Linked DNA regions of Caenorhabditis elegans. The protein of the gene in region 2 purifies or fractionates together with the protein of the main gene of each other region. This does not show direct contact. Each region holds a gene or a part of one and is shown on either strand. Other genes may lie near its edges.

Region 1 (4,875 bases), on a different chromosome or scaffold from region 2:
TTCTGCTTGATCTGCTCATCGTGGCGGTGTTCATGAAAGCAAGATTGATGTGTTATGAATAATGAGGAAAAGAGAGTGAACTGCCAAATCCAAATTTTATGAATTTGGAGAAATAACCAGACCTCTTTTGGCTCAGAGACACACTCATTTTACGACCTTCTTCCGTGACATATAGAGAGTAATGCGGACGAAAGGATTTCGAGAAATCTGTCCGATCGACTTAGCACAATGCTCCGGAAGTATATAGTCTGTGGTGTCACAGGTTTTTTTTTCGCATCAAAAATTTCATGTCTCCAAGTCGATGAAACTGAATTGTATTTTTTTATTTTAGAAATAATTTTTTTAAAAAAAATTTTTAAATCGCGTTATCCAAAGAAAAAACGAATAATTCAATAGAGAAACTAGGCTTGATCGAAAGGTAGACCAGAAATTTTGCAATCGTTTCGAGACCCGAGCATGTGCGCTCTGTTGCGCGCCTTTGCTACAGTACTTGCATTTGTTTTGTTTCGCCGCCAAAACGATTTTTAACGAAAACTCTGAATTTTCTCTGTTTTTCTAGTGTTTTTACTTGTAAAACTACAAAATTTATTAGTCTAAAAGTAAATTAAAACATCTGAAAGTCGTTTTCGATTCGAAATAACGTTTAAATCACATTTTCCGTTAAAAACCTGATCATGTTCCCGTTTTGAATGTTTCAGACGCGCTGTGTTGAAAATTTAGCTTTTTTCGGATAAAAATCACCTATTTTCTGTCGTAAATGATTTGTGGCCCAGAATCTTTGAAGTCTTGTTATTCTTTTACCCACGCATCCATACGTCTCATAGGTGACATCTCGTGCGTAGAACATTTTGAGCAACAAAAATCGAGTAGCGTGACGCGAACGCATTTTTCTTTTTTCCTTTTCTTTCCTGAAAACGTCCTTGAAGAACGGCCGCTTCTGAAGAATGGAGCAGCTCTCGTTCTGATTGCAAAAAAAAACGAGACAACCGGTAAAGTACAATGCCATCGGCTACCGCCATGCGCAGATTGCGTCGGTTCTGTGTGTGTGTGTGTGTGTGTGTGTGTGGACTGTCAACGAATACATCTATCACCCCCGTTGACTTCTCCTCATGCCCTTCTTTTCTCATCTTGCATTCCATTTTTTCCACCTTATGTTTTTGTCTGTACTTTTTTAAAAATAACTTTTTTTGTTGATAATTTTCGAAACTTTTTTCTCTTAATTTTATTTTCGTAATGAATCAAACAACAGATTTAATTTCTTATTCTCATCGTTAATCCAACGTGCTTCCTCATGGTCACTTTTCGGTCAGCGGGGTAGATTCCCATGAATTCTCGCTTTTTTTCATTTGCATAATCGGGAAAAGGAGAAACCTAGACAAAATAAGAAGTTCTTTATTTCATTCTTCTGATTTTAAAGTCTTTCGTTTATTTTCCGGTTTTAATGTAATCCCAATTTTCGAAATTTTAAAGATGAATCAGATTTTGTACGAGAATAGTTTCATTTGCACAAGTAGTAGTACAATTATTTTCTTGAAAATTGAGGGAAGATTCTATTTTTTCAAACTAATTCATGTTTGTTTAATTCTTAACGTTTCCTTTTTTTTCATTTCTCGTTGTTTTTTCTCCGAACTTCTCTCAAAATTCTTCGCAAGCTTTATTCCAATTTCAGGATAGAAAAAGAGTATCGAACGAAGTTCGACGCGATTCTAGATCACGTCGAAAGACCACCATCATGAGGAGCTTCATATTCCTCTTGTTACTCACTGGCCACATATCATCAGGTGAGAATTCTTTTGACGTCGAGGACATCATATCGCTTCGAAAATTGTTTGATTGGCGATTCATGTTGACATATTTGATTGCAACATCATTTTACGCCCTTTTTTGTTGTTTTTTAATGGCAAAAATGAAAATAAATATGGAATCAAGATATTCAAAGCCTTTTTATAGAAAAAAATTGTAAATAAATAATATTGAGAAAAACGCTGAAAAGCATTTGATGTGCTCAAATTTATGAACAAAAAACAAATATTTCTATAACAGAAACAATTGTCAAATATCCATATATATGTAGCAACATTTCTAATAAAAACTGTTTCAGGCAGCATAGATTGGTCAGCGATCGAAACTCCTCCACAATTTGTTCACGATAAGAATGCAGATACCGTTTACTTTAAAGTCGAAAAAAGTGGAATGAGTGATGAATCGGCGAAAAATACGCCCGGTAATCTGCTCGAACAAACGATTCATTGCTATGCAAATGGAAATCCAAGGCCTTCGTAAGTTTTTTGTAATGTTTCTGAAAAAGTAAAATTTAGAAAAAAAAATGAATCTTCAAATATCTTAAAATAATTTTTATTGAAAATTAGACTTGCATGCAATACTAATTGGGAAAGATACGGTAGTTTCTATCTAAATTTGAAAAAAAATTCGAAGTCTTTTTACTGCTTCTAAAATTGCTTTAAAATCCTTTTGGCAGTTTTGGTGGAGCATTAAAAAATTTGAAAATTCAACATTATGCTCTACGAACAGTTTCCATTTGCATTTTTATTTTTCAACTTCCAGAATTAAAAAGTGTTCAAAATATGTTTTTTATACTATTTTCTTTATTACAGATATCGTTGGAAAAAGGATGGTAAGACGTTCCTGCCGTCCATGTTTCCGGAGAAAGTTGTTCAGAAACCAGGAGAAGGTGAATATTTTTTGTTGTTGTAAAAATCTAAAATTGAGAGAATATGGAACATTTTTGAAATTAAAAAGATGGAGTAACTGAATAGTTAAATGTTTGTTTCAAATTATTATTCTGATTTGAAAAAAGTTCACTTCATTTAAATATAAACAAATTTGTTTTATTTTTGTGCAATTATAAAACTCCCACATGCAGGAAAAACAGGAAAACAGTTTTTCCTCAAATCCAAAAAAAATCGAAATTTTCGGTTAGGCCTAAAAACCGAGAAATATTGATTTCTCATTAAAAAAAAGTTCGGTTTTTCAGAAAACCTGTTCTGAAATAAATATGACATTTTCCAGGAAGCCTTGTGTTCTCCCGTCTTGATGAATCTGATGCCGGATTATATCAATGTGAAGCTGAAAATTCGAATGGAACAGCTGTTGATCGTCCTGTCCGTGTACAAGAAACATGGATTCGTCATTTCAAAACTGCGGAACCAGAAGTTGTAGTTGTCGAAGTTGGAGATCCGTACCAAAGAAATTGTTCTCCACCTGCTAGTAATCCATACGCAAGAGTTTATTGGATTCTTATGGGAAAAGAACCGGGACATTTCGAAACTATCAGTAGTAGTCATATTTCTAGCAATGAACAAGTGAGTGATAACAGTTTTTTTTTTCATTCTTTTTACAGATCGTTTCTCGTAACCTCATTGTGCCAAGAAAACTTTTCTCATTCACTCCCTGTTCTTTGTAAACCAAAATCAAACAATTTTCATAGAATTGAACGATTTTTGGAGAAAGATTGAAGAAAAAACTATTCAGTGCTTCTGGCTGTATCGTATTCAATTTTTCGAAAAAAAAATAACTAGACGAATAATCTCTGCGATTAAGTTTCAAATTTGCTGCTCGTTCCAATCTTCAAATACTAAAGAAAACTTCAATTTCCATGTATTTTTTTTCAATTAAAATCAAATCAAACAGAAGTTTTTAAAGTGTTTCGATTCTATATTTTGAAATTGTAACTCGTGGATGATTTCGACGATTCTCGTTTTTAAAGCCAATTCGAAAACTACTTTCCCATTTTCCCAAGCCAAATTGATTTTTTTTGACAACATCTAAAGCATTTTTGTTTCGTTCTCACGAAAAGTACGTTTGAAAATATAGCATATGATGGTCAGCTTTAAACACTTATTTCGACGAATTGATAATTTATCCGACAAATATGCAATCAAATTATATTTTTACATTTGGCATTTTTATGCTAAAATTTCCTGTTGTTAAGTTGGTATCTGTTTCTAGTGTACGTACTAACAATTAGGTCCTTCTGTCGATTCTTGCCTTCTATTCATACATCATACCAATATACATCGCCCTTCTCACTATTATTATATTCTATGTCCAAATTCTATTGTAACCCCTATAATACAGACCCTTTTCCCGACGTCTCCATCAGATGAATAAGTTTTTTTTTGCGTTACAACAACACCTGTCCACTTCTATTTGTACCTTTCCGCCACCATTTTTCCGTTGCGTAATTCAGTAGTTTGCAACATTTTTTCCGTTGTTATTACGTCTCCATCGCAATTAGTTAGACATACCCCCGGAGGTTGAAGGATGAGAAATGACCTTCTGAAGTTTAACCAGTTGAAATGAGAATATTTTGAAGTGGATAGAAAGACATTAGCTGCTCCTAAGAAGTAACCCTTTGAGCTTTATCCTCCATTCACACATTGTGAAAAGTGGCCTCACATAATATGAACGAAGATGATGATACTGGTGTGAACCTATTTGGAGAGGAGAGAACGGGAATGAGAGAAACGAAGAAAAAACAGATTAGCTGCTGTTAAGTGGTGGTTTTGTCGTCTTAATTTGATTGAAATTTTTTGACGAGACCTTTCAATTGTCTCCATTTTTTTGTTTTAAATGATGAAAAAGCTTACTTTTTTAGCGAATCAAAAAGCAGTTGTTTTTGTATGCTTTTAAAAATAGTTTTTATATTAGTCTTGCACTTTTACGAAACTCACCGCCTGAACTTTGAATAATAAAAATAATTTATTTTTGAACAATCAAATAAAAATCTTAAACGGAAATATGGTACGCAAAAATTAATACGCAAAACTTTGCGATTTTTTAGCCAAAAATACGGTACCAAAATGGGCGTGGTTTTAAATTTTTTTTTTTGATAGCCAAATATTTATTTATTAA
Region 2 (6,149 bases):
TCAGGGCGGTATCCAAATTGGATAATCCTGGTCCACCGTACTTCTCCGGAATAATTGTGTTCATGAATCCCAGCGAGTGAGCCTGTTTCACGATTTCCCATGGAAACTCTCCACTTTTATCGAATTTTGCAGCATTTGGCACAAGAACGTCCTTCGAAAATTTTATAGCATGGGACTGAATTTCCTTTTGAGTGTCGGACAGTTCTGAAATTAAACAATTGATTTATTTATTTGATACATTTTTGGAACGTCGTATTATTTAGCTTAGACTATGAAAATATTCCTTCAAGTCAAGTCAAAGTCAGTCAATTGTCAACTGGCATATAACATACTCAAAAACATTGACAAAGCAAGTAAAAATCTTTACAACTGCATTTGGGTAAACATTTCTTTAAACTAACCAAATGACATTTGTCGGCTTTGAACGGCAATCCGATTCCAGGTGGTTCCAGATGAAAGACGAGTGAGCATGTCCACACAATGATTATTGCACTTTTGACAGCAACAACTTTGATGAATAAAATCAAAGACAATCGATTGATTTTCATCCAAGGGTCATTCAACGTGGATGAGTAGGGACAATTTATATTTTTAAAATTGTTTTTCAAGTTTTACGTAAAGAATTTTTGTTTTAAAATTTTTAACAAATTTATTTAAACTAATTGCAAGTAATGACGATCAAAGAAATAACAGAACAAGAGAATTCAGAAAGCAATTGTGAGACATTTTCAGAGATTAGTAAGGAACTGTTTAGAATACTGGAAAGTTCGGAGTTTTACAGTTGGCAGCGGTTATGATATCAGTAATATTGACTACTCGGCCTTCGAAGCGAATCTGAAAAATTAAAGATGAAAACGGAAACTCCATGTGAATATTTCTGAAGGATATACTCCTTGAAGACAAAAAACTTCACTGGTTTCAAGAGACATGAGCTTTTAGCTTACTTATCATTTGCCATCAAAAGCAAAAAACCTTTGACAAATAGAAATTAGAACCTGATTTTTAAAATTTTCTTGAAGATCAGAAAAAAGTGCAATCGCATATTCTGATCTTTAAAAAAAACTGTTACCTCTACAAACACACTGTCCGGACTATTTTCACATGCCAGCCGAGTTGCAATCGGCTCTCCTTGAATAATTCGTTTTCTTCCAAATCCGATGTCTGCTCGAGCCTTCACATTGTACAGCCTTGCCTCAAATCCGAGCCAATCATCAATTCCAACAATGAAAATTCCATCATTATCACATCCGGTGTAAGCTCCATTTGAGTCAGTGAAAAGACGAATTCTTCCAACGATTTCTCCAGCAATTGGTGAATAGATCATTGGTGCACGTGGTGAATCTTCATCATCATCATCAATCATTTGACATTCAACATCCCAACCACGAACTCCGTTGTAACGTCTGAAATTAATTGTTCAATGCATAGCTGTTTCTGTTAAAAACGCCCCTATTAGTATTGCAAGTTGTTTTGCGGTACCCAATTATTAGAGTATATAGTACGTATATGTATTGTTATTTTCTGGTACTTTGTCACTGGTTTATTTGGCTTGAAAACATAAATTTGCTACACAAGTTGGTAAAAAATTTGGCAAAAATTGAGAGAGAATTTGAAAAAAAAAATTGGTTTTGGCAGCGGGAAAAATTTAGCCCATGCAATTCTTCCATAATATATTAAAATCTAAAACAAGTGCTTACTTGTCAGTTTTAAAAGGGTCACCAAGGAGCACATTTCTAGTGTTTGATTCACAGATCTGACCAGTACACATGCCTGAAAATATGTTAGTAATTCTAAATAACCTGATCTTGACAAAAATTACAATTTTGAAGATGATGAGTCGGATCGATAAGTCTTCCTTCTTTGTACAACCGAATCTCAACATGAGGCTCGACATCATTTTGTCCTCTGTCATTGAAACAATATCGATTCAAAGCTTCTCCAATCTCATCTCCAGCTTCAACATGCCCTCCGAAAAAGGACAATTTAACAGAAGATATGTGCACTGCGTAGCCTTAAATTTAAAAAAATCAATAGTTTTATATTTGAAGTTCCAAAACGTACCCTGCCACTGCCCGGTTCCCTCAATTCTCACTCCTTGGTCGGCGCATGATTTCTCACGTTTACCTCCATATGGTCTCCAAAAGTACATTTCTCCTTCAATTGGAGCATAAATTGGCTCTCCGAGATGACATCGAACATCCACTCCATCGATTATTTCTCCTGATGTTCTGAAAAAATAAGTTGTCACTATTATAACATACATTTAGCAAAACTCTAGAAATAAATAAAAAATTGTATAATTTCAAAACTAGACATTTTAATATTAAAACCAGTGTTGTCTCGTTTCAAAAGCCATGTGTCATATCATCCGTTGTTTTTTTTTGAAAAGTGAGTTAGAATGTGTGTGATATCATCACTTTATCTCTGTTTCTTCTCATTTTCTCTTTTCCGCGGCTCAAAAGATCTGTGAGCTCACTTTTCGTGTTTTTCTTCAAAAGAATGAAACGACCGACTGCTACTGTTTCCAAGTTGGAAATTTCTGAATTTCGATTGTTGATCTATATTTTGTATGGAAATTTCGATAAAGCGTTTCAAGGTTTGTTTCGGTTATAACAAAATTGAATTCTTGAAATTCATAAAATTCCAGCATTGAGTTTTTAAAATAAAACAAAATTTGAGTGAAGTACAATATTAGTTTTGCATCTTGTCTGGATTGGGTATCTGGTTTTTTTAAAATTCATAACAATGATAAACTGGTTAGAATAAGTTGATCTATTTTCAAGATTTTTGTTTCTCAAAACTTTTTAAAATCACAACTGGAAGTAGAAAATTAATTGGAAAAATACGGAAATTAAGTTTTTCAGTAAATTTAAATTTTTAGAATCTCCTTTTTCATTTAAAGTTACTCTGGATCTTCTAGAAATCTATTATTTTTTATATGAGAAGTAAATATGTATTATAGCGGTCATTTAGTGTTGGAGTACTGGTATTCAATTTATAATATTCAAAAATGCTCTCAAAAATATTTTGTATTGCAATTTCAGTTTTAAATCTCATTTGAAAACTGCTACACCAATTTTCAAAAATCAAGGAAAAATGAAAGAAAAATTAAATTTCCAGATACACCACTGCTTCAAAGATGTGCAGTTATCGATCGATTGTTAATTTATCTTTTTCAACATTCTGTATTAATTTCAATATTTCAACTTTTCATTCACTATACTTTATTTCAAAATTCTGATTTTCTAGCCAATGTTCCTGACGACAAATGGCCATTCTTAGCAGTGTTAGCCCTTTTTCTTGAAATTTATTCAATTCGATGTTTAAATTTGAAATTATTTACTCAAACGTTAGTTTTCAGTTTGTTATCTCCTCTATTTCATTTATTTTTTGCTGGTTTTTACAATGATCTCGTAAACGGAGCAACTATAACTATTAAATTAGGAGCCCTTACAGTTTTAGGTATTATTTTATTTTTACTTGCAACATTTCTTCGATGTATTGTTATTTCAAGTGAATCTCAGCTTGTAAGGAGTCGTGAAAGATGTACAAAAGAAATTGATCACGCTATTTTCTATGTCTGAATTCATTACTATTGAAAAATAACTTCTTATGTTTTCACTTATATACAAAGTTTCTTTACAAAAAAATTAGTATAAAAAAGTTTCTCACCTCTCTGTATGATAATTACCGCAGGATCCATCAGTGTCCGGGCAGCGACGAAAATCGTTTTTTGCATTGTTTCCACAAACTTTTTTCATACATCCCAATGTCTGACCTGTAAATTAAAAATAATTAAAAGTTGATCAACTTCTTGTGCTGAAAATTTAGTGTTTGGTGCAATTAAATAAAGCCTTCAAGGCAACTTACGACTATCTTGAACCTACACGCTTGCCTGTTGCAAAGTGCAAGTGAACTTTCAGAATGTGAAAATTGGAGTAGCACCAGCGGCAAGTATTTAATATCTTATACGTCTTTAAAATAACTAATTTTTTTTTGAAGTCGACCAAAAATATACTGTTTTGATTATTTTATTCAAACACTACATGGATTCAAATCTGCGAGTATTCGCTCAATTTCTCAAAATTCCCCAATAGGTTATGAAGTTGGAAATTTGCCAACACTTGACTTACTATTAAAATTTTGAAAAATCTTAAAAAATAACTTTGAAACATTGTTTGCTTAAAACTTGTTTTAAAAAAACTCCGCTGCAATGATCAAAATATGTTTAACTCACCTCCTATGAATATCCCAATAAGTATTAGAAAATGCAAGGTTCTCAGATGCATTTGACTGCAAAAAAAGCCACTTAGGAGACTTTAAAAAGAAAAAAAAACACAACAAAAAAGAGAAGAAGGTGGAGAGAGAAAGTAATAAATAAAACGGAAAGCTCAGTTTGATGATTGCAGGCAAAAAAAGAAGAAATGTTCTTCCTTACTTTTCATCAACCCAAATCATCGAATGGCATGTCAAAAGAACGTCCTGAAGACACAGAGCACAGACAACTGACTCTTGTTTCATCTGCGTCTCTATCTTATCTGCGCTTGATCTCAGATCGATGTTAGTTATTGTGTTGTTGTTCAGGGTGTACTCACCAATAAATGCAATAATGGGGGGCACACTGGGTGAATGTGAGAAAGAGTGCTCACAGAGCAGCAAGTCGTATAGTTTTATGGGACTATAGAGGTATTACGTCTACTCAATAGGTCAACTTGATTTTTTCTGAAGAGTCACATACAGGAGATAATTATGATCTAAAAAACCTTAATTTATATAAAAACCCTCCAAAATATGTCCAATTTTAACAACAACTATTAATTTCGCAACAAATATCAAATACTTCGGCTGAAATATATTTTTTAACTTTATGTAAAAAAGTAAAAAAAAAATTAAGATCCTATTCTTCTTTCACACTCCCTCCTCCAAAATGTTCTTCCATCGTAAACCTAATAGGTTCTCGAAGCACGAAAAAATCCCTCGGAGTGGTTTTTTTCGGTTTCAATTTTCCATTTTCTATGCAGATATTTTTTTGCAGCTTCTGAGTCCGATGTGTATGATTTGCCAATTTTGTGTTATTCGAGAAACCCTGAACATATACAGTTCTTCGTCGATTACTTTGTATTCCAAACTACCTGATCACAAATTTTGCAATGAAAGTGTGCTTTCTTTTTGAGCTTGCAGAACGGACGAGAACAGGACTGAAATTTTAAAAATGAAATAGTTGTTGTAAACCTGAAAACTACATCAAGCCGTTTGGGAAGGGAAGTGATTGGACAACAATGGAGACCAACAATTTCAAATCCCTGTAAACTATGAATTATTGATCAGTGTCACAGAAGCTTTCCAGACTTCAAAAATTATTCTGAAAGAGAATAGTCATACCGTTTGACATTTGGCACAGTGCCAATGAGAACTGTTTCGGTTAAACTGACACCTGTCAGATCCACATGAGACGTCGATATGATAGAATATTCGGTCGTCAGGAATTTCAGAGTTTTTTAAATGGAACACGGAAAGATGATTTGATATCAAAAGAGCATCATTTGATGCAAAGTTACACCTGCAATAAAATATTATTTATTAAATGATTACCGTCTTCTGAAGAGCTACGCCCTGGATTTTACAAGATTTTTGTGCATTATTTTTCTATTCCTAATGGCAATCTCTTAAAAATAGGGCTTGTCCCCTCCACCGCCCAAACCTAAGCCTAAGCCGAAGCCTAAGCATAAGCTTAATCCTAAAAATTTTAACAATTTTTGGAACTGTACCGTTTGTGTCCGCAGTGTAGATGAGCTATTCCATGATATTTGCACAGATCATCATCGCAATCAAATTTAAAATAGTTTATTGACATCAGTATGAAAAAAAAAGGAAATTTCTCAGAATCCTAAAATTTAAGAAAAATGACAAAGCTGTGAAAAATGAATGTTGAAAATAGAAGAGGTTGTCAAGGATTGGTTTTCGTGGTCGTCATGTCTACGAGTTCACCAAGACGACTGTTTGGGCAAAAAAATACGGAAGAGTGAAAAACTAGAAAATAGGAAGGGAATAGTTATGAATTGTAGATGATGGATTGGTTGCCATAGATACACCTTCGTTGTTTATTGTGTAACATCATGTTTATTTAATTATTTTCAGACCAACGAGTA

What was found.
Region 1: the proteins of lect-2 (region 2) and sax-7 purify together in Caenorhabditis elegans (affinity purification with western blotting; 2 studies listed by BioGRID). This does not show direct contact.

Annotation. Positions count from the first base shown.
Region 1 is NC_003282.8:8,061,000-8,065,874, forward strand, and holds the start of sax-7 (Neuroglian), read left to right. Parts: upstream 1-1,659; 5' UTR 1,660-1,732; coding exon 1,733-1,781; intron 1,782-2,101; coding exon 2,102-2,279; intron 2,280-2,615; coding exon 2,616-2,692; intron 2,693-3,030; coding exon 3,031-3,323; intron 3,324-4,875.
Region 2 is NC_003280.10:5,788,877-5,795,025, reverse strand, and holds lect-2 (Leukocyte cell-derived chemotaxin-2 homolog), read right to left. Parts: upstream 4,304-6,149; 5' UTR 4,290-4,303; coding exon 4,238-4,289; intron 3,779-4,237; coding exon 3,673-3,778; intron 3,669-3,672; exon of another isoform or gene 3,585-3,668; coding exon of another isoform or gene 3,121-3,584; intron 2,597-3,120; coding exon of another isoform or gene 2,500-2,596; exon of another isoform or gene 2,436-2,499; intron 2,229-2,435; coding exon 2,062-2,228; intron 2,012-2,061; coding exon 1,820-2,011; intron 1,771-1,819; coding exon 1,698-1,770; intron 1,404-1,697; coding exon 1,070-1,403; intron 835-1,069; coding exon 751-834; 3' UTR 624-750; downstream 1-623. Other genes in the region: acdh-8 (medium-chain acyl-CoA dehydrogenase), read right to left, coding at 1-204, 402-471; K05F1.14 (uncharacterized protein), read left to right, coding at 2,500-2,596, 3,121-3,584; K05F1.13 (C2H2-type domain-containing protein), read right to left, coding at 4,898-5,086, 5,133-5,198, 5,244-5,303, 5,383-5,560, 5,769-5,854. UniProt on the Caenorhabditis elegans protein: Muscle-derived dendritic guidance cue, which is required for the formation of somatosensory dendritic arbors which extend from PVD and FLP sensory neurons during development.